Linked DNA regions of Styela clava. Each later gene encodes a partner of the first gene's protein in a complex. Links are inferred from orthologs where the notes say so. Each region holds a gene or a part of one and is shown on either strand. Other genes may lie near its edges. The genes, in order: cleavage stimulation factor subunit 3-like and cleavage stimulation factor subunit 1-like.

Region 1 (16,850 bases):
AAATCAGAGGTTTTGTCCACCTTTAAAAACATCCTTCGCATTAGATGTGTTTATTGATTTATACCCCTTCTTCGATATTCGGTCTAAATCTCAGTGAATTTTATTAGGTGTGGTAAGATTATTTATTTATCGGACTTCGATATTCTCATTCAAGATTCGCACCACAGGAAAAAATTTCTGTTGGAAATTTTGTGATATTTGATGGAACATCAAGATAGATGATTATTTAGAAAAGGAATTCAAATGTTATTTTATTTACGGTCAGCAATTCACGGACTTCTCTATTAACAGAAATCTCTTTTTTAACAGAAAATTTTCATACATTCTGATGAGTCAGAAACTGGCCAGAATTTCTTCTGTTATGTAAGTCATTAACATTTGTATTCTGTTCATCTTTATAGTTCAAAATTTTATAAGATTATTATTAAGAAAATGAACTGTCAATCATGAGCAGAAGTTCATTCTATGTTGAAGATATTGAATTGTTATCCTACAAAATATTTTTGAGCAGTAAGTTGTGCACATTTGTGGGATTCATCATCTCACATCAACTATGTCGATGCACTAATGAAAGTAATTGCACCTGCGAATCTAATTCAAGATCATGAATGAGGCCTTTGTTATATCATCTCCAGTTATTATGCTCCACAATTTAGGTAGCTTTTCAATTGATAATCAACGTTTTTGTAATTCGAATCTAATAAGCACCAGATTACATTATTTGAATAGTGCAGAGTGTGTAATGAATCTTATCATAGCTTTCCTTCGAACATGAGATTTTGATTGAACTAATTTTGTATATGTATTCGTTATTAGAAATAGCCTCTTCAGCTAAGACTTTTTCTTGTTCCTGTTTTGTTCACTTTTTGTCCACTAAGACTTGACCCTATGTCATCAATTTTCAATTCCATTATAAAATAAATCTAAGGTATGTTTGATGTACTTGATTTAAGATGGTGTATTAGTGGTGTGCTGTTTCTTAAGCCCTAAAGAAAAAACAGTTTGGTAAACTCCAATTGTTTTGACAATAATTTTCACACACGCTCGCGTTTTTCTTTGTCCAACAAATATTTTGAAAGAGCGCACTGCTGCGTAATAATTCCCTAGAACGCACTGCTGCGTAATAATTCCCTAGAACGCATAGGAAAGAATGGCCGGATAAGCAATTCAGAACACTAAACAATTTCCCAATACAGTAGTATATGGCTATGCATTTTTCTCTGTAGATTGATTACTTCTTTATACCATATGGCAGAATGGACAATTCAGAACACTTAAACAATTTCCCAATACGTTAGCCTACGCATTTGTCTCTGTGGATTGATTCATTTATGTTTATACCATACTCACATAAACATCGTTGTTAAGTTGTTACATAGAGAACGGCATATGTAAGCACGAATGATTGTTAATTCGAGAGGATTGGCAGCAAACAAGGATGGCACATCATTTCCTATTGAATCCACATTTATAATAATGACATGCTCTAGGACCCACGACAATTGTTATTCGTAGCCGCCACGATTACACATCGCAGTGCTACGTGTATATGGGAATACAGTACCAACTTAACAAGCATGTTTCACTGGCAATACATGTCATATCCCAAATATTGTTAAAATTGGCCACTCTTGCGTCTTAGAACGAGAACATCGATTTAGTAAGTAAACGTCATTAGGTAAATTCTGTCTCGGTGGCAATATCACCAAGTTGCCAGTAATTGTACTGTCTTTAATAACATGTAACGGTGTGACACAGTGGTTCCTAAACTTTTTAAGCCGCCCCACTTTTTATTCAGCCCCACCTCAAAAATAACTAGCTAATAATAAGCTACAAATAACAGATAGTAAGGCGAAAGTATGTTTTACTCAAAACACACGTTGAAAATACGAGGATGGAACGTAAATGATGAAATGAATAAAAATTTTAAAAACAAATAAGGCGGGCAAGATCGAATCTAACAAATAGTTTTATTTTTAATTAGCTCCACGCCCCCTCGAAAATTGTCTACGCCCCCCTTTGGTGGGCTCGCCCTACCGTTTGAGAACCACTGGTGTAACACATTACAACGCTTACAAAAGTTGGCGATATTTCTATTCTGTCTGTATAAACGAACATTTTTACAGCTGTAAAAATTGTGAAAATGCTTCAGCGTCAAAATGGTATTTTAACCCAGTGTCGTCATTATTAGTACTGCATAGACGCACCGCACTGTGAAATGGTTTTATATTTGATCGGACAAGGTCACTGACTGAGCAGATGCTCAATTTCGGAAAAGGAACGGAAGAGAATGTTTGGTAAAATAGGACAGTTCGTACGAATTGAAACGATTCGGCACTATAATTGACTGAGTTCTGATATTCTGTATTTATCAAGTTTGAATCATGCTAGGTATAAAGATTGTCGTTCACATACGAAACTGCCATTGGGCGAATGTTTAGGGGTATGTAATGTTCACTTATATCGAATCCGACCACGTCCGGGAATCATTTTTAAATAAAGACCGACAAGTTTTTATAAGCCGCATAAGTCGAGTATTCCGCATACGTATATTTTCCCGATAAAACCGTTATTATCATTTTGGGCCTCATTATTATCTTGGACATCGCATACTTTCGTAATTCAGAAAGTCCAAATGTGCCTAATAGACGCGGGCGATAATTGGTCTGACGCTGTATCTCGACCAAACATGGTCGTTAGAGCTAAATGAAAGACCACATTCGCATATTGTGCTTGGTCTGGTATGAAATCTGGCGCGTGGTAATGTGAAACAGTGCACAAGTTTCCATTCCCTAAGTATTATCTACTCCCACCTGTCCGTTATGACACTTGCTAGAAACAGCTAATAAATGTTTCATTTCCCGCTTGTATCGCGCTAAGAAAATACTATATTTCTTTTGATGTAACAGCTGGATTAAAAACATATTTATGTTCTATCAAAATATTATTTTCCTCGTTCCGATTAAATTAAACAGATTAAATATATATTTTAAGATAAAATGATTGTCAATTAAAAGGCCAATGAACTTATTCAGTAATAGTTTTCTTTAAATATCGCGAAATATTTCACACTGATCGAAGTTTAAATTAAATTTTAATCAAAATTAAATATTTTCTAGAAGTCGGTAGCTGGTTTTTTTATCCAATCATGTCAGGGCGCACCATAGTCGCAGCGCAGGTGTGCTGTTGCAAATTTTCATCCAATTGTCACAATTTTCAGGTATACGATCCATTAAAATTCAGGCCATCCAGTAGAATACTAAACTGGGAATTTGGGGGAAATTACGCCACACCGCATCTCGAAAAATGTGTAGCGCTGAACTTGAAATAAATGACGGCAGATCAGTAAAAAGTCATTTCGTTTTCATTTTCGTCCCGTAATTTGGCGTTATATGCAGACGCATAAACGCATTCGGCAGATTTACCGCCGCCGATAACCATGCACAAACCGTTCGATGTTTGTTTTTGCGGTGATATGCTCTCTTTTTCCGAATCGCAAACCTGATTCGAAAAAGATGCAATTCGATTTGTCAATCCAAAAGTGGCATCCCTAGCTTGCCTCAAAATTGGTCAAGCAAAAATTGAAATAGTTTGGCCGCATACTTTGAAATCTTACAATATGTAGGCTATTACCGAGGTTATGGGCAGCTTATTGATATATGTCCGTTTCTAATTATATTGTGTTCGCATCACGCGATGTGACACGTAGAAGAGAAATGCACCGCCGTGAAAAAAAAAACATTACGCGCATTTTACAAGTGTTTATAGGCGAATTTACCAAGAAATACAGGGAATCGACTTGAGCCCCCACAGTATTGAGGGTCTGTCCACCTACAAGCGAGTGTGAGAAATTTTGAATACTAATGTATTTCTTCAGTTACGCCAACCAACTCGAGATGCATAATCGCAAACATTACCCCCTCTTGTTTGAGCGGCTTAATATATATCACTAGTATTGTATTAACTCGTCGTGGTGAATTGTTTGACAATAAAGCCTGGAAGGCAATTTAAAAGTCGTATTTGAAGAATAAATAAATTTAAAAGTCGTAATGCGGACCTGACCACTGACACTTTTCATTTCATGAATATGATGTTAATTTGTTGATAACTATTTTATTTATTTGAAAGTAACTAATGAGCTCGACTAAACTTTGAGGGCATGAATAAAGGATTTTTCATCATAATAAACCTAACAAGTGCAGAAGACATAAGCAGAAAGGTACCATCAGTAGGACAAAGCATATCACTCAATAGTGGAATTCAACTTTTACTTTACGCATAGAGAACTTTCATCGTAATAAACTAGTGCAAAAGACATGCTGCAAGATACTAACAAAGGGTGTAGCCAGCCCAAATTTTGAGGGAGGGGGCAAGTTTTTTTTGCCCACTTAGACTGGCGGGCCATGTAAGTGTGACTTAGAAAGTTACATTTCAGCCTCATGCCAGAACTGAATTTAACCGCAGTCGCAACAAATTGCTTGAGCTATTTTAGCTGAAACGTCAAAATTTGACTTCAGTTTGGCTGTGGCAGAATCAGGCGGGCCAGATTGAATTACCCAACGGGCCGGATTTAGCCCGCGGGCTGTACTTTGCCCATGTCTGCTCTACAGACATACTTCGCTGTCAAAGTTATAAAAGTGCGCATTTCCATCTATCTCGTTTGGTTCATTAGGTGAAAGGATTATTGATAGCAATCCAGGAAATGTCCGGTTTTCAGTATATCGTTCAAGAACAGAGCAAAATGGTTTTGAAAATGTGTATGAATTTATGTCTCATGCCGCAAAATTGCGTCAAAAAATGTTTTTCGGTGGGACATCGCCCCTTCTTGGCTATGCGTATGGTACTAACAGTGGAGGCATACAGCATATCACTTAATGGTGGCAATTAACTTTCCCTTTACGTCCATCCCGATTTGGCATCCCAGAAAACACAACTTTTCCTATTTCCCCCATCTCTTACTTCTAAGAAGACAAGCTTTTGTAAATCCCATAATAGTTAGATATTTATATATTAATAAACGCGCCAGATATATGTCACATATGAACCTGTTATTTCCGCTATCAACCAAATAATAGAATTCAAATGTAATAAAAAGTACATTTTTAATATCAATAAAACCTACATAAGATAAATATATATAAACAGTAAAACATGCAAAAAACTAAGTTCATAAATGTTCACTTTGTGCATATTTTTTATTGGCACAGTAAGTATATAATAACTAGTGTAAATCTGCTATAACTCCCCCTGAACAGTAACTCGCACTCAAAAATTTTCAAACCAAGCTGCCTCGATACGAAATTCTACATAAACGATAGCATTTTAAAGAAGATACAAATTCAAACATAAAGAACCAATCAGGAAAGCATATTATCTTTTTAAATAGAAGTTCCTCAATATCAGCGATTGAACGCCAATATGCTGCCTGCAACTTTTTATAGTGGAGTTTTTTACCCCTTAATAATTAGCAAAACAAGCATTGATATGCATAAAGAATCCGAATCTTCCATATGCTGCAATACCCTCTGGATATATTACATCCTGGAAGAGGTGGTGAGCATGGCAGATGATCTTAGGATCTTTAGATTCAAAGTTAGGTTCAACGCTCTAACCACTGGAATAGTGCGCGCAGGGAATGAAACAGAATGGGATTGATACATAACATGCATGAAGTCGATGAAGATCTTTATGTGAAGCATTTTTTGTTAGGAATAACTTATGAAGTGTTGAATCAAAGCATCTGTATAGATTGTATTGATAAAAAGAAGGATAGAACTATAAAGAAGAAATTCACCACATTACAGCACTATCACCAAGCCATAACGAGGATGGCAAAAAGACTAGTCAGACTGGATCTGGATGGACAATTTGAGCTGCCCATCAAAAACCCAATGAAATAAAAACAATAGCCAACAATTACTCCACCCATGAAAAATTACTTTTTCAAAGGCCGAAGAAATCTGTAGACAGAACTATGACAGAAAGAATGCAAATGAGAAAATGCATTCAATTCCAAATATCATAAAGCATAATTCTGATCTTGCTTAATAGCACAAGTTGAAAACAGAACACAATATGACCTCGCAAGTAACTTTGTTATGCCTTCAAAACTAGGGTAACTTCCAGCAACAAAATACACAACAAGTCCATACAACTTCTCAAAGAAAATCTTTTCTCACAAAAGACAAGAAAGGGATAGGAAACAAACAAATTCCAAGACGCCATTGATAATGTATGTAGAAGCATTTGACAGCTTATTTTTCATTATCACATCAAAGTTGATAAGGTGTGGTCGTAGAATCACATATTCGCTCTACATAATGTAAAGCTGTGGCAGAGGTAAAGAAGTCTAACGGCATCATCTGACTTTTGCATACCATACTACGATTGATCGACGAATCTGTGGCTTGGCATGTTTCTGTCTCATCAAACTGAACCAAAGACCCACTAGATGAATATGAAACAGCCATGCTAAACACCATCATACACTAAACTCCCTAAAATATTATTCACTACACGAATGCCATCTGGCCACTAGCTAACATCTAATGTAAATACCACTGGCCAAGCAGAATTGATTCATTGATCAATGTTGATCCGTTTTCGAAGATTTGAAGCAACTAAATGTAGAGACTCGTCTCAAACTTTAAAGTGTCACTAGCTTTTTGCAACTTTAACCAGGCGCGTTGATGCCTAAGTAAATATTGACACGACATGGTATCCTGGTTTTAATTTCAGACTCAGACTTGACCAGAAACTGAGGGTTTAGGAACTTGCACACAACAATATATTTGGTCGGCATCAAGTCTCATGTCAATTAGTATTAATTTGTGTTTGAACAGCATAGTCTCCATCTCGATTATAAGTTTGTACTTCTTAGCATTTCAGCAGTATCAGCCAGACACAATTCACTTCCAATAAGATAATTTTTCAAAACTAAGTGGGATCTTGTAACACATTATATTTTAGGCAATCCACTTTTCTAAGCAGAACCTTCAAACTGAAAAGAACTCAACAAAGCTTAAATCTGTCTCACCTTTGCAGAACGACAAAGCAAACAAATACAGAAAAAATATATTTTTAATATTACAAACCACACCTCATGTTCTATATAAATCTTCCAATATCTTCCAGCACTTGGGAACTGTGAAACGAGACGTTCGTATGTTCTTCTAGCTTTGTTAATAGAGTTTGTCTGAAAAATCCAATGTAAAAGACTTGTACCAAAGAATATGTTGGAACAATGAATGAAATTGCAAAATCTGATAAATGTCACAATTTCAGTAATAAAATATAGATTGTACCTGGGCTTCACGAATCAGTGAGTTCCATGACTCAACATCATATGGACTGGTTTCCAATTTCTTTTCTATCTTCCTGATTCTTTCTGGAACATACTCCTGTAATTGAAGAAAAATGGACCTCATGTTTATATACCAAGTTATGCGGTACAAAGATAAATTTTTTTGGCATTATTAATGATAGTGAGTATGATATAATTATCACCACGCAATACAGAACAATGAATACAATTCTATACATACTGAAAAGTTCTTATTCGTTCCTAATCACTATTTACATAGACATATTTAGTACTGTTTGAAATATTCTGTATGTCGTCTGATGATAGATCATTTAACAACATTTAATGTGTAATAAACATCAAAGTTAACAGGTTGTCCCACTACTAAACTGATAAAAGACTTTAGAAAGTATATCACATAATACCAGTATTACACTATAAAGAACATTAGCTGATAAAAAAAAAAACATTCAAAACCATTGCTAAAATACTATTATTAATTGCAGTGTAACTTCGTTAGGAAAAACAGAAATGTTTTATGGCATGATATCCATAATTGATTTGTGGTTTAGGTGCATAATATTCTAAGATATCCTGGATATCCAAGTAGAAATTGCATTATAATAAATTTTCATTATATCTCACCACTTCTTCTGATTGTGATTTTGTTGCCATATTCAATGTTTTGAACCCTTTATTGAACAACAAATTAAGTATAGATTTTGCATTGATCAGCTTTTAATCATTAATAGAGATTTTTGTAAGTATTGTTACCTTAAGTTTCTGGAGAAAGCAATCAAATTAAATAATGTTGTACAAAAATATTCTTTAAGTTTATAGATTAATACTTATCTGTAAGCCAAGACAAAAATTTAAAAGATAGCAAATGCATTTCATCCTGAAAAGCTGAAGTAATTTATCTCAATTATGACATAATCTTGTTCATTTATTGGTTTAAGAGTCAGTACAGTTCTTTGATTGCGATATTACAATAAATGTCCCCCACATTAAAATACAGCAATTATAACAGTGAATGCAAACCCCTCCTTTTTGAGACAGTGTGGTCGGCACGATTTACTGAAGAAAAAAATTTACCGTATCATAAGTATATTTGAACTCCATAATCAGCATAACACTAACATGCAAAGTTCAAAACGTACAGGATATCTTATAAGATGGGAGATTTTGCCAAGAACGAGTGTTTTTAGCAAAAGAAATTATTATTTCAGTGATATGACGGAGGACGCTCATTGAATTCTGGAATTATTATCAAAATAAGCATGACACAATACTGACTGTTGCAGCAAACAGCAATATTTTGATATCCAGATACCGTGTGCGAGACGAGAGTATTGCGGGTTACCGGTAATTACAGTTTCCTCCACCATCAAGTCCATGCTTCAGAAAATAAGTTTATTTAGACTCCATAATCAGCATAATAGACGGTAAAATGTCGACATTGATAAAAGCAAAATAAATAAAACTGATTATAGAATCCGACCTGCAAACATGGACTGGTAGTCAACAGGTAACACTGTGACAGGATGAAAGGCTGTGGTTCGCCATATGATTAAGCCGTCATATCGACTTTCCACTCCTCCGGGATAAATATGTAAATCCTATTCTGCAAGCTTTAACCTCGGGATTCGGCTGTGGTTCGCCATGTGATTGAGCCGTCTTATCGCCTTTCAACTCCCCCCGGGATAAATATGTGAATCCTATTCTGCAAGCTCCAAGTCCCGGCCCTCGGGACAATGCCGGTACCGTATTCGCCAAAGTGACTACAGGACTATAAACCATTGAGGTGCTATAAACCACTTTGGTATTCACTGCCGTAACGTACGATCTAAGACTACAAAATAAACCACCTGCACCTGGGTGTCGCTGACACGATTATTGGACGATCTTTCGCGACTGCTCGCGAAACTTTGTGGGTTATTTTTGTGACTTGATTCATTTCGATTCATTATTATTTGTTTACAATATTTCATGCATGGCGAAATAAAATATTTTAATCTAAAAACACACACAGTTGTACAGGTAATCGATAAAGCCGGGAAGGGAAACCGCGGGAACGAATTTTGTTTATCAAATAGCGACACCCAAGGTGTAGGATAAGGTTCTGATAAGTCCAAAAATCGTATTTAAGAGGTCGATATTTCAGTTACGACATTGGTATGGCCGTATCGCGACTTTAGCTGTATCAGTTCAGACCTTGCTTTGATCAATTTTGATAATAAAAAATGTATGTACAGACTTTGCTCATCTAGTCTAAACTGACAGGTCGGCAGTGGGTGGACAGTCTAAAACTTCATAAATTCACTTCATTCTCAGCCATTGGAGACACTCATATCTGTTTGAGTACAGATACGGTATCGCGAGCTCGGAGGGAGAAAGAGACAACTCGCCATATGGGTTTGTTACTTTGCTATACAGTCGTTGAGTGACATCGCGGGATATAATGTAAGGTATAAGTATATTTAAAAAATAATAGGAAAATAACTAGTGTTCCATGTTATATGAAATTGAATGAAAGTGTCAGTATTCATTACTGATTAAAGGCCAAATTATGATTGATTTACATGATTTTTTTGAAAATAGTTCTCATACTTACGTACATACATTTATGAGGCTAAAATGATACCTGGGGAAAAAAAGCAAAATTTATTTCAACTGGGCTAATATTCAGGTCCGAACCGTCCGGGCAATCTTTTCATCAAACACCGAGGCACTATCGGTACGTTAGTCGTTGGGCACTATACTATGAAAATTTCTGTTGTGCTTTCTTTGTCCTGGTGCCGTAAGCTTGTGCTTGTTGTGCTTTATAATAAATTCATACTTGGCTACAATATCATCGCAACATTATACGCCTACAGAATTATCAGCATAATAAAGCAGCGCCAAATCGTGTAAGTCTTGCTTTGTAACTGACGCTTTTTAACAGAAGGCCTATAGAAGTTACGGTGAAATGCTATTCAAACGTGGAACGACTTCAGTATACATTTTCGATTCATTTGCATAATATTATTTAGAAATAATTCTCATGCCTACAAACATTTATAGAGGTTTAAGAATGATACTTGAGAAAGAAAAACAAGCAAAATCTCAAAATTTATTTTAACCGGAACAATATTGAGGGCTGATCAGAGGCGTAGCCAGAATATATTGCGCCCGGGGCAAGCTATAAAATTGGCGCCCCGACCTCCACGTTTAATCATATTTTCTATTACATTTAATTGTATATGTAAAACAATTCAAATTTTAATGGAACATTTTACTTAATAATTGTCTTACCGTAATATTTATATAACATGGTGCAAATGTGTCTGTGCTATTCTGTTCATTTATATTTTATACTGAGACCGACTCTGTTATGGCGATCTGTAATGTACTAGATCACAATGTAGCACTGGTATTATATATATTTTACACATGTCCTCTAAACTCTATCACAATGTGCTTTTAGTGTTGAATCGTGGAACTAAAATATCTGCCGACTCATTCTCCGTCTTTTTTATATTTATATTGTAACAATTAATTCCGACTTCTTAATCAATAACAGTGTTAAATTGGTCAGGAGCCTTGATGACCTTCAACGGTCTTGCATACTGGCTAACACAAAACAATGTGTAAATTGGACTACTTCTATAAAAGTCATCGATATTGTTTTATACTATTTTTCATTGTTTTCATTATAGTCTAACTCTATAAAAATTATTGATATTATTTAATACTGTTTTTTCATTGTTTGTGGAAATAAATCTCTCTCTTAACGAAGAAGCAAAGCTATACAAAGTATGTCCATAATGTCCCACTCAGTTATTGTCAAGGATGATTTACATAGTCTACAATAAATTTATTTTTCTTGATTTCACTGTCGCAAGCTGGTTAATCACGTCATCAAAATCTGTTTTTTTTTTCAATGTTTTTCTTTCAACACTTAGAACAGGGGTCGGCAACCGGGCCAGATCCGGTCCACGGAACAATATAATCCGGCCCGCGACGCTTCACTAAATTATATTAACAAAACAACTGTATTGACGATTATATTTTTTACGTAACAGAATTTGTTTTGAGACACTAAGTTATATTATAATCTAACAAGTATATAATTCACAATCACTCGTTTAAATTGATTATAGATAGACAAATGGCAACAGAACGTAAAAAAGTTGATGCTGAGTGCAAATGCTTTAATGGCGCAGAAAATGATCAGTTTTTGTGCGCTGCTTGAAATTTAACTGAAATCTGTGTGAAAAAATGTGATTTACTGGCCATTCCCTCGTTTTTTAACTTTCTAAAAATATATGCGGGCCACTAATGACTTGCAACCTTTAATTTTGGCCCACGAACGACAAAAGTTTGCCGACCCCTGACTTAGAACATCACTGAGACTATCCTGTCCTATTGATGCACGCGATTACGACAAAATAGGTTTAAATTTGTTGAAAGACCGTTCACAGCTTGCAATTGAAACTGGTATTGTTAACAAAATTTGTAGAGAAATTCGCATATTCGAGAAAACGTCGTCTCCAAAAGACACAATAAAACCAAGAAGAGCCAATGGCTGGTAGACACCAATGCATCAAACTGAGTTGTTGCGATGCCGTTGTGGTCATTATAAATCAGTGGTTCTTAAAGTATGGGTCGCGACCCAAACATGGGTCGCGGAAGGTTTAAAAATGCGACAAGGTCATCAATGCAAGGGCAATCTAAGAGGAGAAGGAAGAATTTTCAGCTTTCCCAATGTTTCAATTTAGCTTCTAAACTCTGGTATTTAAAAATAATGAAATATAAAATGTCATTCACGGAAAGAACTGTCTTGAGCTCATTGTTACATCACAATTCTGATTTGCCAGTCACGTGTATTATTTTTATGGTATCGGTAACCATGTACGTCGCTTGTCGTTGTGTTGACCGCGTGGAATGTCGTCTTAGTCGATTAAAATAACCAAAAATGGGTGTCTTTTTGGTAATGTAAATTGTAATAGACGACGCAATGAAAAAGCTCGCTTCTCGACATTAGATTATTCAATATCTAGAGAAAATGTGACTTCATCTCGAGGCACCATTTACCGCAAGCGAAGCAGTGTGTGCACATTTGATGAGTAAAAAGTTGTATATTGCGAGAGATACCGAAGGCCAGCTAGGATGTCGTGTTTGCGACGGACAGCGGACGCCTTTTCTGCTACAATTCGCAACAAGGCACTTGTGCGAGCGAGGATATTTGGCACTGACGGTTATCAAAACTAAGCTCGCAATCGCCTCGATACCCGTGACAACTTGCGTATTGCGTTAAGTAAAATAGAGCTGTGTATTGAAGATATAATGAAAAGGAAATTTCAGTTTTATCAATCTCACTGAGTCAATGGACTGTTTCTAATAAATAGTTGTCTGTATTTGAGTCAAACTGTACTAACATTAAAAACACATTTTGCGTTATTTAGGATTGGGTCGCGAGTATTCATAAAACTCAGATTTGGGTCGCGCTCGAAAAAGTTTAAGAACCACTGTTATAAATATTAGGCCCAGGGCTAAGTATAAACTACACTTTTTATGAATGCTGTTGACAGGCGGGAACTGAACAATCCCTTGCCACCAAAAGTAAGGTCTGCGTCGTGGGCTACCTGGAAACGTTTAGCAGCTTACCACGAAATACAAAACCACGTACTACTCAAAACATGTATTATCAGCACTTCGCTGTTTAACATCATTAAACCAAATTCCGTTGCTTTTCGTCTCCAGCACAGAACTTATATCAACTTACATCGTAGTGCGCAGGCAAGAACTTATCGATACAGAACCACGTATTTAACCCAGTGCATTTTATTACCTAACGTTACCAAATCAGATTTTGCTTTGTTTCCGTGCGCGAGCTATGTGCCTGATGACGTCGGCGTAAGTGGTCTGACCAAGTGTGCAGTTGGCCATGTACTAAGACTAGACTGCCGCCGGTGCAATCTTGCTTGTGAGATTTATTTTATGTGACTGGTATTTTACCCTCGTTGTGACATTTTTGCAAGTCCCATTTTGGCGCCCCTGTACCTTGGCGCCCGGGGGCATATGTACCCCATTGCCCCCCCTAAGCTACGCCTCTGGGGCTGACTCGTCAGACTAACTCGAATTATTTCGTTAAACACTGAGGCGCCATTGAAAAGTTGACTGTGGAAATTTCTGTGGTCTCCCCTTTTCTCTTAGTGCCCTAAGCTCGTGGTTATTCCGTTTAAGGGTTAATCTAGACCTGGAATACGTGTGAACGAAGTTAGTTCGCCTAGCATCAAGTGTACAAATTATATAATTTCCCTATCTGTCCCGAGAAATGATAGCTGGCCGCTTACAAGTCAATGTTAGATTCTATTTTCTCGTGATTATGTATTATTTTCTCGTGATTATGTACTCTGTTCTTTAATTTATTCTAGTATGATTGTCTTGGTGTGTTTCACGTGTGTGAATGGGCATAATCGCTGGTTACAGCGTTCGTTATAAACCTTTATATAGGTTTTGCCCACTTTCCCGATCTTTCAGTTGACCTTGTCTGTGTTCTTTTTATTTGTGTTGTAGACGAAAGATCGAAATAAAATTATATTATTATTATGCATGGGGTCGGCGGTAGAGGAAGCAAGCGGCTTCGTTGACGATAACCACCTGGGTATATTTACCTTTGAACCAGCGCAGCGTACTTCTGAATGGAATGACAAGCGACTTTAAAACTCTCAGCGCCCATCGTCGACGCGGGTTTCATGTTACGTAGATGACCTATCTTTTTTATTTCGATTCCTGAAAGCTTTTACGCTTTGGTCATTCGCACCATTGCTTACTCTTGAATTCTAATCGGCGATGACGGTGTATTGCTTCGTGCTAAGCGTTAGAAATAAGCTCACAAGCGCACCTCTGATTACCCCGCGTGGTTTCGCAGGTTCGAACTTTCATTCCCAAGGTACCCTATTGAAAATAGGCCGCTCCAGAAGTGTGTGCACGAATACGAAGGTAACTAATTTTGTTCGCCTACCTTACTTAAAGTTGTGTAGAGTGACTGAAACCTACGGGCAGCGGTTATATTCACTTGGCTGACCTGACGAGGGAAGTATGTGATACCGGTAACAAAATTTGTTAGATGCCCTGTATAACATTCGGTAATGAATGAAGAAGTAGTGGCAGTGCGAACCTTATAATCAGACATCCTGGATTTTAACAGAAAACCAAGCCTAAAATTTAGTTATGCGATTAATTTCATTGTAACAAAGCATAAACATAGGCAAATAAATGAAATATACTTCAACAAGAACTTGCAAATTCGCCAGAATACAGAAATCAACTTCTATTAAAAACAAAATATAGAAATTCACCACCCATAATTTACAGACAGTGGTCGGTCAGTATGAGCTACATTGTACAATATCAGTGAAATAGAACTGTTGCTGATCTAGATTGTTGTGACTATACAATTGATAGAACAATGTGAAAAAGTGTGATATAAAGAAAATGGTGAATAAACAATCCCATAATAAAGTACGATTTTCTTTTTACTCTAACATGCTCAGGAGATTTTACAATATTCTTCTTTTCATTATGGCTTGGTGTTGTATTTCTGTTGATCATAAATAATAATTCAACCACATGAAATAATGATGAATGGCAGACATGATTGTGCAAAAACGAAGCATAAAAATATTACAGACTTGATAGTGAAGTAAAAAAATGTACCAGACATGCGAAAGAAAGAGTTGAGTAATTAACAAAGTAATAAACAAAAACTTGCACCATCTGATGTAAAAATGATGTTTTATGTTGTGCCAATCCCTACCGCAGCATACTAAATATCAAATGATTTCAACTACTGCTTCATAACACTTCAAACAAATTGTTAAAAATAGAAAAAGCCCCATCAAATAAAAGTACAAAGATGACAAAATGAACAAAGCATAATATAGATAATAATCCGTAGATCAAGAAAAATATTTAGAAAAGCCAGCAAAAAGCATCAGTTGTATTGGACAAATGAAACAATTTTATTAACACCCATCTTTTCATTTTATTCCTCAGCAACACGATGTGATCTGTAAATAACAACATTTTAACTTTCTTTTTTGCTAATTTACCGTAATGACTCTTAACAACAGAAATTGATTAACATCGGGTACTTAATCTTGGTCCAAAGCAACAAACAATCTCGTTTGTGTATGATATTTATTCGAAAAGTTATAAATGCAGTTATTCATATTGAGAAAATGTGAGAACATAAAAAATGTATGCCCAAGTCATACATAGTTATTTAACAACAGTTTTTATATGAAACGGAATCCTTTACCCTAAGTATATCTTTTCTCCTAACTACAACAGATCATTTTGAAAAGAAGCTAACGCATCGCATCATTCATGCTACAATTATAGTAATCAAAGTAACAGTTCAATTGCGTAATAAGAACCCAAATACTGTATTTAAAATGTTGCTGGTATTTATAACATTTTTAATTATACGGCAGTGAAAAAAAATGTATTGTTACTTGAAAAATTCAGTTTGAATTTGAATGTTGTATAGTATGAGTGAGGTTACTGATGATAGGAAAAGAACAGATCTGTGATAAAATTCCTAAAAAGATTCACTAACCTTACAAGTGGTGATTCTTCCGGACCACCTCTCTTTCGATCATCACTGCCAATGAAATCGACTGGAACATTTAGAAAATAGATATTTTATTTTTAACTGCTTGTTTCTATACTTTAATATTATGCTAATTTTACATATAATACTAATACTCACAACTGCCACTGTCATCTTCAAGAACACCAATAACATAGCATGATATGATGAACCCGAAGCACTAGAAAATAGATAAGTTTATTTATTAAAATTTGAACAGTGATTCTTCAAACATTCGTTTTTCAGACATAAGTGCATTGGAAACATAGATGTCTAAGATGAATGGAATATTTAAATTGATCCGAAAATAGTTATAATCTATACTTCATTATAGATTCCTGATTTTCGGTAAAATTTAGAATATTTTTATTTCCAAATTTGTCATTTTTAGTATTTGACATTTGGCGGTCAAACAAAAAATACACTCAAGTTAACTTCTAAAACTGTATAATAAACAGAAAATCAAGCAAAATCATGTTTATTTCAACTATTCTGCATAAAAAAAATTCAATTCTATAAATTTACAATTATTTGTGTTCAAACTTTGTTGAAAAAATGATCCATTTTGCATTATTAAGGGACCTCCAGAAGTATTTGCACCAAGATGGCGCACAACCTGAACATTGTATGTGTACCAGGTTAAGGTTCAGGTTGTGCGCCATCTTGGTGCACATACTTCGGGAGCGCCTTATTAAGAACTTAACTTTTTTTATATTATCTTTTGAAATACTATGATTTATTTATGTACAGACATCAAATTTGTACCAATGCAAATGGAATTTTAAACAAATCTGTTATGGAACACTATTTATGCATTAGTAAGTACTTTACTTTTTTATATTATCTTTTAAAACACTATGATTTATGTACAGGCATCAAATTTCTACCAAAGCAAGGGAATTTTGA
Region 2 (15,026 bases), on another chromosome or scaffold:
CGGAGTATAACAAACAATGTGTATGAATATGACGCTTAAAGTCAAGCATATTTAGTTACATTGCAAGACACCTAAAATTTTACAGTAATTCCTTTTAAATACCTGTGGATTTACTAATTTTCGACCATTGCTGTCGGTAACCAGGAGCACGTGGTCATTATGAGAACGAGAGGCGAATAAATATTCTGTTTGGTTCCCACTCGCCCCTTTTTTCCAAGGCACAACTTTTGTACGAAAGCCTGCCTTCATTTTTGTATCCCCATTGTTAACAGTGGTTGTAGATTATATTTCAGAATGTTCTCACTAAAATTATCATAGTAATTCCTTTTACACACCTGTGGATTACTAAATTTCGACCATTGCTGTCGGTAACCAGGAGCACGTGGTCATTATGAGAACGAGGAGCGAATAAATATTTTGTTTGCTTCCCGCTCGCCCCTTTTTTCCAAGGCACAACTTTTGTACGAAAGCCTGTCTTCATTTTTGTATCCATATTGTTAACAGTGCTTATAGATTATATTTCAGAATGTTCTCACTGAAATTATTTGAATATACAATAAATTATTAACCCAACCGAATAAAAGGCCGTCGTTCATTGTCGGCGGAAGTTATTGAGAAGTGACAAACATAATGAAAATGATGCCAAAATTTGTCACGCTGACTAAAAAATTTGTCCGATTACTATTTCTGGACTCACAGTGCGCAACCAAAATTGTGATCAAAATTTCTTGACATAAAACTGTTCAAGAACTTCGATATATTGAAATTTAAAAACATTGGGACTCAGAAATTTCACGGCTGAAAAAGTAATATCGTGCAGTCCAATATATCATACTGATTTTGACGACTTCGCATTTTACTGTGCTGCTGACCTAGTTTATTAATAAGAAATAAATATGAAGTCAGTGGTTGAGAAAAGTACGCGCTTGCGGCCATTCCGCGATTTTTGAAAAATCTAATCTCGTGGCAAATAATCAGGCGCGTATTCTATACTTTCAGTCGCGTATTCTTTTACGTATAAAATTGTGGAACTCAACGTTTTATGGTGTCAGCTAATTTTGATAAAATAGGGCAGGCCTGCCCAACCTTTTTCGTCTCGCGGGCCACTTTCACATAACGAAACATATCTCGTTCTCTCGATCTCGTCTCGTTCACATACGAAACATATATCGTTGCGGGCCGCAAACGTTTGTAACAAACTTTAATACTAGCCAAGTCCCGATTCCGTTAGAATTCACATAATACATAAAAGGCAAGATTATTACGGTAACATAAAATCAATCAAGTTGATAAGGTTACTGATAAGTGCTGGCAAAATATTCGAATATATATCAGCAGTTTACTATTCGAATATCTGGTAACATGGGGCATGGACATGACATTCACGAGTCGCTCAATCGAAAAATCAATCATTACACAACGCACTTGTGGATTTCTGACGGCCACACGAGAATCTGCACACAGTTTTCACTAACAAACAAAGGCGTCAAAATTGAGTCTTATATTTGAGTCATGATGTTTTTTATTTATTTATTTTCAGTGGCTATGATATTTGAGCGTAATGTGCGCCAATGTCGCGGAAACATCGAATTTTAGTGGGCCGTTTCGTAAATTTTGAAACTTCAATACAAGTATTTAATGAAGAAACATTACAAAGACTTCTGGACAAATATATATACTAATTCGATTGGTAAAATTGCCAATCAGGTCAATTTTATCAGAATTATTGACGGATACGCAGTGACGATATTTCCAAATTGTTATTTAACGCGAACATAACATACACAAAAATACAAACATAAAAGAACAACGTATCCCGGAGCCAGGAGCAAAGATATTGTTGACTTTTTATTTTATGTCGGCGATAAAGATGATCAAAGCCAAATTCATTCCTATAATTGCGCTCAGCTTTCGTCACCGATGATCGCACAATCAAGTTCGTCGAACAAAACGCACAGTTCTGCGAGAAATGAAAAAATCTTAACGTCGATGTCCATCAGTGCGCAAGACTTGATACATACATAACAATAAGAATCGGCATCCGGATGTAGACAGATGGATGGAATAATCACACAAAAACCACGAAACAAACTTTCGCCTATATAACATAGTAAAAATTCAAAAAGTCTGCTTACAAAATTTATGGGGCGGGCCGCATGCGGCCCGCGGGTTGGGCACCCTTGAAATAGGGCATCGTTAATCAGGACTTGCACATAAATAAAAAGATTACCTACCAACAACTTCAATTTTGTGATTTATATATGTTGTATTTATTTTTAATATTTTCAGTAACAGATTACACATAAATGCAAAATTTATGCAAACTGCCCAACTTGTGGAATGAAGAGTATCCATAATTAAATTTCGGCCCTCTTAATCTGTTAAACATGCTATTGTAGTTTGAAAGTTGTGCCTGTGATTTTTCAGGTTTTTCGCCTTTGTCGATTTTTACGAAATAGGGCATGAATGCAAAATTATGTTACCGACAACTCAACTTGTATGATGTACCACATATATAATATTATGTTTTTCAAAATTAAAAACTGGCTCCTCTTAATCGATAAACATGCTATTGTAGTTTGAAGGTTTTTCACGTTTTTCGCCTTTGTCGATTCTGACGTAATAGGGCACCCTTTAGTAACGGATTACACATAAATGCAAAATTTTGTTCCCGACAATTCAACTTGTATGATGTACCACATGTATAATATTATAATTTTCAATAATAAAATCACGCCCCTCTTAATCGGGTAGACATACTATTGTAGTCTGAAATTGTGATATTCCACATTCTTTTCGTCTATGTCGATTTTGACGAAATAGGGCATTTTCAGTAACGGATTACACATAAATGCAAAACTTTGTTCCTAACAATTCGACTTGTGGGATAAAGAGTGTATAACATAAAATAGGTATCAATAATGAAAACTCGCCCCTCTTAATTGGGTAAACATGCTATTGTAGTTTGAAAGTTGTGAAATTTCTAGTTTTCGCCTATGTCGATTTTGACGAAATAGTCATTTTCTGTAACGGAATACACATAAATGCAATATTTTGTTTTGTATGGCGTACCACTTTTCCAATATTATATTTTTCAATAATAATATCTTGCCCCTCTTAATTGAATAAAAACATGCGATTGTAGTTTTGAAAGTTATGAAATTTCAGGTTTTTCGCCTATGACGATTTGAACGAAATAGGGCATTTTCAGTAACGGATTACACAAAAATGAAAAATTTGGTTCCCAACAACTCAACTCGTATGATGTACCACATATATAATGATGAATTTTTTATTTATAAAATCTCGCCCCTGTTAATTGGATAAAAAACTGCTATTGTAGTTTGAAAGTTTTGATACTTCACCTTCTTTTTCGTCTATGTCGAAATAGGGCATTTTCAGTAACGGATTACACATAAATACAAAATTTTGTCAACAACTCCACTTGTGAGATAAAGAGTGTATATACTAAAGTAAGTATCAGTATCAATAATAAAATGTCGCCCCTCTTAATTAGTTTTTCATCTCAAAGTATTCGAATCCAACGGGATCCGATAACAGGATTCGGTTTCCGCCTCTCCGGCACCAAGCGTCAATTTTTGTATTTCGGGTTTCTTCTAATTTATCAATTGAAGACGAGCATTTTTTCTCGCGTGTAAATCTCTCTCGTTTAATCAAACTTGCGATAGTGATGTATTAAGTTTGAGTAGGGCCAATTTTGGGTAGATAATGAGTGATATGTAACGATAATCATAGAGTATGTATGTATGTTGATTCGTCTCGTAATAGTGATACATAAATAAATGAACAATTTTTATTATTTAAGACGGGATGCATGCACAAGACCGTACTGGCCTAAAACACAAATGTGCGGCATGCACCCCTTTTGACAAATATGAAACAAAAAACATTAGATTAAATATGTATAATATGCTTCCTTATATAGACAGTTGTGCAAGGTGGGGCAATGGGTCGGTTGGTGTGGTGAAAATGAATTCGTCTTTAGATGTTATTACCAAATAACTAGGTACGAAATCGCGTTTACGGGAACTTGGTTTTACGAGTTACGATGTACCACATATATAGTATTAAATTTTTCAATAATATAATCTCGCCCCTCTTAATCGATTAAATATGCTATTGTAGTTTGAAAGTTGTAATATTTCAGGTTTTTCGCCTCTGTCGGTTTTAACGAAATAGGGCATTTTCAGTAACGGATTACACATACATGCGAAATTTTGTTCCCAGCAAGTCAACTAGTGAGATGCAGACAGAATATATTGAAATGATTATCAATAATAAAACTATATATCTTTATTTTTGTGTTTTTTTTTTCATTTGCATGTTGGTTTAGTTTGGCGAATTTGGTCCCGCCTATAATTCTGCAATCTGATTGTCGTATCAGGTATTTATTGTGTTATTTTTGTTTTTGCGAATGTTTATTCGTTTGTGTTGTTTTTTATGGACTGCAGCGGTCTGGAGTAGTAAACGAATTGAAAAGGCCACCGTGATACTAGTACTATTTTTTCTACTGTCCCCCCTAAGTTCGCTGTTTTACCTGGAAATGGCCTAGGGGTATATCAAATGACCTTTACAAGATATTTACAGGTCCGTTCCGGTAGGTTTGGGTAGATATTTTACACCGTTCCGGTAATTTATTGACACTGATACTGGAGAGCACGAAACTGCGAAAGGTAGAATTATATTTACTTGCTTCATATACCAGTAGCTATTCTCTGGCTTACTGCAGCATGATCTCACAAGTTTCCGTTGCTGTTTATTATGCAGTTATGCCTACTTTGCGAATAACTTCTTCTCTCGGCTCTTATGTTTCTGAACACTTCCAATTTATAAAACCATCACTCCGGGGTGAACCACTTCTATGAAGCAATAAGCAAAACAAAAATTTGGCGCTGACAGAATCGCAGAAAATACCCACGCATAAAAACAAATGTTTCCAATCATTTTAGAAAGAAAGTGTATATTTTTATTAGTTTTACAATACCAAATCAATCAATAACTACACTTCTCATCTTGTTAATATTTTGTAAACAAGCTAAATCGACTGTAACAGTGCATTACAAAATTACATACTTTTTTAGGAGTTGTTTATAAATGACCGAATTTTCTTCGTGACGTTCATTTCTCGAAAACCTCCTATAAAGGCAGCATTACCACATAATGGGACAAATCAGGAACCTTATACTGTAGATTCAATTTCATTATAGCAGAGCATTAGCAGCACGTTTTGACTTAGCCATATATAATACCAAACATAGCGCATATTCTTCAATTTTATGAACACTGTGGACATAATTAAAAAAAAGTTTGTATTTCACTTAATTTGCAGGATACTTGATCAAATATATTTTTTCTTTTTACACATTTATACTGTACGCCAAGAGAGAGAAAGAGGTTTTATTATTTCGTCAACCAAAAAATACAGTCATCAATAAAATAGCAACAGCAAATAAAATTGTTTAGGTATGGACAGGAGAGAGCGATACGACCATGCGCCATACGGTCATTGAGGTCAGCTCCCACCATATACGCTGATGTGATTAACACTGAAAGATGACTAGTGACAAAACTTGAACCATTACGATAAAATTTTTACAATAAATTTCTTAACAAAATTAAGGGATTTTTTGGTTAATGCAATGTTATGCAAGTGTGTTTTAAAGGAAGAAAAAAGAAACAAAAAAGAGGGATGTCCGGTGTTGTATTCGTTAAATAAAACAATCTAAAGCGGTCAGAATAATGAGATGGAAATTTATATTTAACTGGAAATAAATAAATTCGAATTCAATGAGGTTTGGATGCTTATATTTAGCACAATATTCAAAGTACTTGGAAAAAAAATTGGCCATATATATATACAGTGAATCAAAGACAAAAATTATATTGTGATGATAATTTGTCTGAATGTGAAAAATATTTGAATGTAACTTAGTGATACACAGTATTGAAAAAAAGTAACACACCAGGAATTTTATTTATAGGTTAGTCACAATCTGAAAATGTTTAAAATATTTCATGGACTTGTTCATGCAAATGTTTGGCATTTTTACAAACTTGCATTTCAAAAATAATAATACTTATAATAGGTATACTTATCAATAAGGTTTAGCAGATGGATTTGGGAAACGTTTCTGATTTAAACAAGAGGGTCAAATCAATAGAAAAATTTTACAAAACAAACCGAGCAATGATGAGTGAACATTTTTATTTACCTTTGGTGCTAGAGTATGATTGATGAAACCTTTACAAACAAACCTATCCTACTGCTAGTTCAGATCAATTTGGAAATAATTTAATTGATCAACAATAGCATATCAATAACTAGATATAAAAGACAGGGAAAAAACGTGCTATTCGATTGACCAACAATAAAAATTTTCGTTTTTGTAGTCGCGATTTCTCGAAAACCGCCAATACGACACGACACATTCGAAGAAAATCAGATACCTTATAGATTCGATTTCACTATTCCAGAACAGTAGCAGCACGTTTTAACTTGGCCATATACAATACCAAACATAGCGTGTATTCTCAATTTTATAAACAATGTAGATGTAAACATATTTCACAGGGGTTTCGTATTAAACTATATTTATTGAATATTTGAGCAAAATTCTTTTTCACGTTGTCATACATCAATACTGTATGTTCATTAAACTTGGATTATGTTGCGAATTACATACATTGTTAGATACATTGTATTGAATACATTGTTCATAAAATTGAGAAATATTCGCTATATTTAGTATTATATTTGCCTAAGTCAAAACGTGGAGCTACTGTTCTGCTATAATGAAATTGAATGTGTCGTAGTGCTTCCTTTATTGGCGGTTTTCGAGAAATCCCCAATCCAGGGTCGATGATTTTTTTTAAATTTTGAATAGATGGCGTGAATTTATTTTTTGTGATTTAGACTTTCCGCAACTTATTCCAAGTTTAATAAACGTACAGTATTGATGTGTGAAAAAGTAAGAAAGTTATTCGTTCCATAATTAGATAAATTTGGTTAAAATACAAAACCCTTTTGGAATAGATTAAGTCCAGACTCTAGATTGTTTATAAAATTGAAAAATATGCGTTATGTTTGGTATCACATATGGCCATGTCATAACGTGCTGATATCGTACCGTTGTAATAATATCTCATCTATAATAAAATTTTACATCCCACCATTCATCGTAATTCTGCTTCTATTGGAGGATTTTGATAAATATTGTTTAGAACTTGTACTAATCTTAGAAACTCCGTATTTTGCGGAATACCTGGGAATGCGTTATTTGCCCAATTTCTTTTTTTAGACCCTATTTTATTGTCAAATTCATTGTAGTTCTTTAGTTTAATGCTTTGTCATGTCTTTCCGTGGTAAAATTATCTTTTTCTCAGCCATTTTAATTTTTTTTAATATGTATCTATAAGTGAATACTACATGCGCGTGGGAACTATATTCAATGTGTAAAAATATTCTGGCCGAAATTGCCGCTAGCTGCACAGTGGTGTGTAACTGTACTGTATTAATGGATATACTGTACCGGACCACTGTGAAGCTAGTAGCAAACCTTCTTCTAATTGTGCGCAGCGGTGCGTTAAGTCTCGTTTTCGTGCTCATTGAAGAGTTATATTACAGTTTTGTGCTTATTGAAGGGTGATGGAGTAAAACGTAGGCGATTTCTAAATTCCACACGGCAGAATTGCTCTCGATTGTAGATATGGAAGAAACATCAACATAAATTTAAGTGCAGTTTGGAAACTTAATCGATAGCACAACGGCAGTTTGTTTTACACTAATGTTTTATTTTCTGATTTGTCAAATACGGTATCTAACTTGTCATATACTACTCGCCTCAATAAGTACGCACAGAGCTAGTCTGTGTGCAAGACTTTGAATTACCGAATAAATAGAGTTTACAGGTTCAAAAATGAGCTGTTTGTAATGCCAAGCTAATGTAGAAATACGATCGCATTCATTTGCGAAATTGGAAATATTTCAAAGTCAGCTGATTGATTAAATGCACGATGGCCATAACCGTCTACGGTACGTGTTTCTTCTTCTGAGTAATCAAGTCTATTTTTTCACCATACTTATGGAAACGAAGATATATAAAACAAAGATCAAATTCTACTAGCTTCACAGCGGTCTGTACCGGTACCGTTAATGGAGATGAATGGCAGAATGGGTAAATGTATCTGGATTTTATAATATGTCATTTTCATTTTGTATTGTATACTCACACATTTTATGGCATCACCTAAATTAGCTAGAAAATTGGGCTTCATGCAACTGAATGGAAATAAATTATTTGATTGAACCAAAAACTATCATATTTTTTATAAATTGATTTAAATTTTGCAAAAAAATGTGTAGTATCCAGTTTACATTGTATTAACAGTATTAGTACATAACGTCACATCAATAGTCAGATTTTTGTTGTATGTATATCACTTTATCAGTAGACTATTGCTTATGAAGTCAAATCCGAACAATGTGGATCCTTGTTTTGCTTATCTGTGCAGCTGTGGGTATGAATGAAAATGAAGGCAATTAGCATTTGGTTTGGTGAAGCTTCATACATTTGTAGGGTTCCCCATGCATTGCTCTTTCCATCGCATATCAGCAATATGTCATCAGCATTTGGTTTTGTATTTACATGGTATTAAAATTTCAATGTTGATCTATCAGTCTGTATACCCAGTATACGGTCAGACGGTATATATGTATATAAAACTATAGTAGGCTATTTTGTCAACACTGATCATTAGAACGATGTCAGCATCCATGTTTTAAAGTATTAACAGTTAAGCTTTTCTTTTTGGCATTTACTAGTATTTTATAAAAACAGATAATCGTTAAAAATGAAACCGGACAATGTTAAAATGAGAGATCATTTGTATAGGGCTATCATTAGCCAGTTGCTGAATGACGGATATATTGCTGTCGCAAAAAGCTTAACATCTCAAGTGAAGCCAACACTAGCATGTCCACCTTCTGATAAACTGCTCAAAGTATTTGAGACTGGAATTACCCAGCTTGAACATGACAAAGAATTTAAACTTCCATCTACTGCAGAACTGGTTGCTCCTGGCCATGGAATAGATCTTGAATTTGAGACAGATGTTCAAATAACGTCTCCAGAAGCAATTGTATATGAAACAAGTTACGTTACTGCTCACAAAGGTCCATGTCGAGCAGCGACTTTTTCAAAAGATGGACAATATATTGCGACAGGATCGGTGGATATGTCAATAAAAGTATTGGATGTTGAGAGAATGGTTGCCAAAAGTATACATGAAGGGACTCCTCAAATGCAAAATGATCAACCAGGTATGTTAGACCACCCTGTTATTCGTACGTTGTATGATCACAATGATGAAGTGACCACATTAGATTTTCACCCAACCCAGCAAATATTAGTTTCAGGTGGCCGTGACTGTACAGTTAAAGTATTTGACTTTTCAAAGAGTTCTACAAAAAAGGCTTCAAAAACCATTCAAGAAGTTGCAACTGTGCGCTCAGTTTCCATGCACCCCAGTGGAGAATGCCTTCTGGTTGGCACAGAACATCCAGTTGTGAGACTTTATGATCTGAACACTTTTCAGTGTTATGTGAGTTGCAACCCATCAGATCAACATAGAGGTCCACTAACCATGTTGGCTTACAATAATGATGGTAGAATTTATGCTTCTGGGAGTAAAGACGGAGATGTGAAGTTATGGGATGGTGTCAGTAATCGATGTATTGCAACATATCCTAAAGCCCACAGTGGTGAAGAAATTTGTTCTGTACAGTTTTCACGAAATAGCAAATACCTTTTGACAAGTGGTAAAGACAGTGTATGCCGTCTTTGGGAGACTGCAACAGGACGCTCACTCATTGCTTATACAGGAGCAGAACTTAGTGGCAAACAATTACACAAAGCACAAGCAGTGTTTAATCATACTGAAGACTATGCATTGTTTCCTGATGAAAAAACAATTTCACTATGTTGTTGGGACACCAGAACTGGTGAAAGACAACGCCTATTGTCACTCGGACACAACGGTCCTGTTCATCGTCTTGCCCATTCACCAACATCGCCTGGATTTATCACGTGCAGCGAGGATCACAGAGCTCGGTTCTGGTATAAGAGAACGACAGGAACGGACTGAATTGCTGCTGGATAGCACATTTTACTATGTGTTTCTGGACCACAAAGTTTAGGGTCAGCGCAGCATAACATGAGCAAAATTAAAATTTACTTCATGGAGATCATCAGTTTGAAGATGCATGGTATATTAGACAGAGTAATAAAATCTTGTGCTTTCGATTGCCTACTGTCTTAAAGAACCTTGCCTATCTATGCTTTCCAACAGACCAGACCCTGTTGTTTTTTTTAAAGCTTATTTGATATTCTTAATTCTCATTCCACTTTTTATGGCAGTGAATTATCAATTGACGAAAGAAATTTATTCGACCTAATAAACCCTTTGAAATCATCCTCATTTTATGCCCAAACCTGTGGCTGTGTCCCAATTTTTCTATATTTCTTCTCACTAAATTGCCACCACTGCTGGGGTATTATGCATTCCTATATTTATCTAGTTCGTGCTCTTGTCTTGACAATAGCGTTTAGTACACATTGATTAAAACGATTGTCCCTTTTTCGTAACTAAATTAGCCACAATATCAGTACTGACTCGGGGAAAGTTTATTTAACAGGACACATCAAATTTATAAGGTGTACATATTGAATTGCCATGCTGAGGAGGTGCCAAGCATCCCCCAAGTCTGAACCGGACCATTTTCTATCAGCTTTGTGGTTCACTCATCAGCCATCATCTGTTTTTTCGAAGTATTCTGCCATCTTGCAGAGGGCTCTTGATCTGTGGGAAATCTTGTTCTTTTCATCTTTTGCCATTTCAGCATATCTGAATTGGATGGGGGCATGGATTTGCTATTGGGTTTCAATTTGAATGAGTCCCAGTCATAAAATAACAACAATGTACTCACGTTTCATTATAACCATCTGGTTGAAATGTTGGGTCCCATCCAAAGTCCCTTGGGCCTCTAGGTGATACGATCCTCCCCTAGTAAGCAATTAAGGAAAGACTTGTGAAAAGTAATGACAGTAAATTCTCATTCCTTATTAAATCATAGATTCTGGGCAATACTACTTGAAAGCTTATTATTGAAGAATTTTTTTTCACATAATTTAGTTTCCATATGTTAGAAGCTGCTGGATCGAAGGTGGTCGGCCAAACAATAAGAATTCTTGTCTTTCCAACCCGACAGAGCTATACATTTAGGTGTCCCCTTCCCCTATTGTACAAAAAGAAACTATTGACAGATGTGGTAAATATACAGGCTTTTTGGCATGAATTTACTATACCCACCTCACATTTTCCAGTAAACAGTAGGACAGGGTCGTTAGCATTTCCAGTTGCATTGTACGCAAAAGTACATAGGGCATAGGCTGATTTGTCCTCCCAACCATCCAGCATCTTGTGTATTCCTTCTGGTCCCAACTCTTTCAAGAACCATTTCCTGCAACCAGATTCTAATAAATATTACATGACAACAAGACTGACATTTCATTATTAATTGGGAATGTTCAATATAGGAATAACAGAGGTTCTAAAACACATAACTATCATCTAAAACAGTGGTCGGCAACCACCGGGCCGCGGCCCATCGCCGGTCCTCGGAAAGGTCACTACCGGTCTGCAGAGAAAGGTGACATGAAAACGTACAATGCCATTGTTATCTTCATGTGAGGTTGGGTTTTTAAAATGGCAATTACAAAAACGAAAGATCGAAGTGGGTTTAACGTAAGAAATACGTTACGTGAATAGTATCACCTTTGTTTTTGAATGTTTTGTCAACATACATTTTCTAACGCATATTATTTATTACATTATATCAGTTCGTTTGTATAAAGGTGGTCCGCCAAAATTTTGGTCAGGCTTTACTGGTCTGTTACTGGAAAAAGGTTGCCGACCACTGATCTAAAACACATCTCAGACACTAAGATTTTCATTAGAAAATTTGTACATCCAGATATGCACACTACCGGAACCAATCGCATTAAAGCAGTAGAGTTACAATCTGGTGACATATTTGGGACTTCTGATAACATTTTCTACTTCCAGTTAGGACCAATAGGCTCATTATTTTCTTTATATATAATAATTTCATCACAGTGCAAGATTTCTCCACAAAGACAATTTCTAGCTTTGTTATTTTTGAAAAACTAACATCTAAGATTCCCATACACATAGGGTCCAGGGAGCCCATTCATTGCATTAAAGCATAAACATGTGTCTTCCACAATTACAGGAGTCTTCAATCTTCTGGCTGCTTCTTTACACTTTTCTCGAGAAACATCTTCTGCAGTCCCTTGATACTCGGGCACTAAAAATTGGTTCAAGTGATGACACATAGTAATGTAAAGGGATGTCCAATTTAACAGAAAATTGAAAATACATTACAGCATAATATATCTAGACAACCTAACCTAAAAAATCTCCATTTTCTAGTACATTAGGACAAATATTGCCATAATATGTCAGCACCGTATGGATCAAGGCGCATTGATTTCAGAAAATACAGGAGAATAAAACGCACAAATCACAGAAATTGATCAAGTTATGAACCATTTTCTGAACGATCTGCAAAGTCCTTAACTGATATAGATTATATTTTCCACAAACAGAATTTTACCAATACGAATCCACCGTAATCAAAACATATAGCCTAATGGCAGAATGGAGTACACTAAAATTAGAAGAGAGTAACAGGAGTATTGATTTCTCTGTCCGGAACACCGTACAATACACAACAACAAATGCACTTGGGTATCTTTAAATATGATAGGCCTACTTACGATCCAATGGTGTGTGAACAAACTCGACACTTTTATTTCCCTTCAAAATCGCAACAACTTCCTCCAGCTTCTTTTTGTTTCCAGTCACAAAGCTGACAGTCTTTCTCTGAGACATAACGCATTCCCTCTGACCGTATCGCTTCGCTTGTTGCCCGTTACGATTTGTACAGCCCACCGCGTGTACTTTTTTCTCAGGATAAATGCATCCGTGGGGGTGATGTGGGTCGATAATATTCGTGTGTCTCAAAAATTGTGGTCATCAAAATCATAAAGGCCTACCTAATAGGTCACTATATAGGTAAAAATCTAGAATTTTTTAGCGTATAAGTAGACTTCCAATTTGGCGCTATTGAGCCATTACAGGTTTTGCCACATTTGCCCGATATGTTGTGGGATGGTGGATGGGTGCGAAAAGTGGATAGGACATTATATTGCGAATTATGAGACATTAATAGTGAACCACGACTTACAGACTCAGGACTATCAGTTAAAAATCAAGGATTTCTGCTGAAAAATTTTCATCTTATACGGTACCAATCAACTTCCAGTCTGCATGGCTCAAATGCGAGGGTACGGTAGGTACCGTACCATTGGCAACTAGCGTCCCATAGCTGCATAGTCTAGTTAGCGACTTATTTTGACATTGCTACAGAAAAAGAGAGAATTTATTTCGTTTTGTCCAACCAAGAAAACAATATATACATACACATATAAATATCAAATAAACAGATGTTTTCGGTACATGACTGAGAGGCAACGATACGACCTTCGAGGGTCATCAGAGTCAGTTGGCACTCAAAAACAGACAGTACCGTAACGTCTCAGCTTCATAGCACTGGTACCGGTAGACTACTGTTGTTACATCAGTAATTATGGTATAAGTTACTTATAATATGGAGTAAATGATAGGGCTGACGGCTAACTCCCCATGAGGGCTAATTCGCCATATACTGATATAAGCCCGTTTTCTTGTCACTTTGTTACTATTTGCACAGTAGGTATTGTAACCAAACACATTTAATTTATTCATCCTTACTATTGAAGTTGTTAGTATAAACAGCCACCTTTCCATCTCCCATTACAAGAAGAGCCGCCGCACAGTTGCAGACTAACCCGTTAGCCGCCGTCGCATGGCGAGTGGTCCATGGCGAGTTCGCCCTCATGGCGAGTTAGCCTCCACCCAAATGATAGTAATTCTTGAATCTATCAATAAGGCTTGATGCAGAACTTGGTACAGCATTCAAAATCAGGCTCAGGATCCGTAAATTTTCAATAATCAGAGACAGAGGAACTCTATTACATTTAATTTATCTACCTCAATTTTGCTGTTTTATTTCTTGCAAAACTGTCCGCAGAACCCATCAGCAATTATGTGTGTTTCTAATTTTGAATTGCCTCGTTCTGAATCGTGTTCACGTTTTTTTGTATGCTTTTATTATTATTTTTTTTTGGTGGGTGGGAGTGGACGCGTACTTGTACGTTTTTCAACTTCATTTTAAGTACTGTATGCTTACCTCCCAGATATCTCTGCGTTTTGTTTGTTTGTTTATTTTTTGTGTTGTGTTTTATGTCAGAATACCGAAATAAAATGATTGATATGGTTATGGATTTTTCTATTTATGATTGAAATGTCGAAATAAAACTGGTTCAAAATTCTAAGATTAGTATTTTCAGGTGTTCACTACTATAATGCATTTGTACAAGTGATGTAGCATCAAATTTAGTCCTTTTCATGTGTTTAGCATCTTCTACAAGAATGAATGTAGGCCAAAGCTGAAAAGAATGAATAATTTTCCAAAATTGTCATTACCACTATCTGACCATGTTCTACCATATTTCAGTATTTCTGAGCTACGTCAATAATTATAATTCAAGACAGAAAATGTAAATTATAACTAGATGGAAATGCATATAATAGTGTTTATCAAACTGGACCTTCACCTCTCCCTAATGGCTATAAGGAAAGGCATTCATCTTATACCATTTATGATGACTATATTAATATGAAGTAAATTGGATATGTTCAGTTCTTTCACTGTAGTTCATTTTTGATTTCGTTTCTTGACTTTTATTAATAAACATGATTTAGTTAGAATATATATTACAATTTTCTGTTAGAAAACATTTTTATTTTAAGCAGCATTATGC

Evidence for each region.
Region 2: the proteins of cleavage stimulation factor subunit 3-like (region 1) and cleavage stimulation factor subunit 1-like are in contact, whole or in part, in a crystal structure (PDB 6B3X), measured with the Homo sapiens proteins. The link is inferred for Styela clava from reciprocal best matches to the Homo sapiens genes CSTF3 and CSTF1. Residues at the interface, in NP_001317.1 of Homo sapiens: Tyr581, Pro582, Lys583, Pro584, Asp585, Thr586, Gln588, Met589, Ile590, Pro591, Phe592, Pro594; in NP_001028693.1 of Homo sapiens: Arg118, Glu216, Ala217, His226, Pro227, Ser228, Asp230, Phe231, Thr240, Arg242, Leu243, Tyr244, Cys251, Phe252, Val253, Ser254, Cys255, Tyr270, Ser272, Ser273, Ala274, Asn275, Gly291, Val292, Ser293, Asn294.

Annotation. Positions count from the first base shown.
Region 1 is NC_135255.1:8,577,498-8,594,347, forward strand, and holds the start of cleavage stimulation factor subunit 3-like, read right to left. Parts: upstream 8,265-16,850; 5' UTR 7,979-8,264; coding exon 7,949-7,978; intron 7,401-7,948; coding exon 7,305-7,400; intron 7,196-7,304; coding exon 7,100-7,195; intron 1-7,099. Other genes in the region: sodium/potassium-transporting ATPase subunit beta-1-interacting protein 3-like, read right to left, coding at 15,336-15,360, 15,912-15,972, 16,065-16,125. UniProt on the Homo sapiens protein: One of the multiple factors required for polyadenylation and 3'-end cleavage of mammalian pre-mRNAs.
Region 2 is NC_135254.1:18,912,760-18,927,785, forward strand, and holds cleavage stimulation factor subunit 1-like, read left to right. Parts: upstream 1-8,826; 5' UTR 8,827-8,871; coding exon 8,872-10,164; 3' UTR 10,165-10,286; downstream 10,287-15,026. Other genes in the region: inosine triphosphate pyrophosphatase-like, read right to left, coding at 10,824-10,923, 11,006-11,082, 11,389-11,539, 12,268-12,406, 12,879-12,993. UniProt on the Homo sapiens protein: One of the multiple factors required for polyadenylation and 3'-end cleavage of mammalian pre-mRNAs. May be responsible for the interaction of CSTF with other factors to form a stable complex on the pre-mRNA.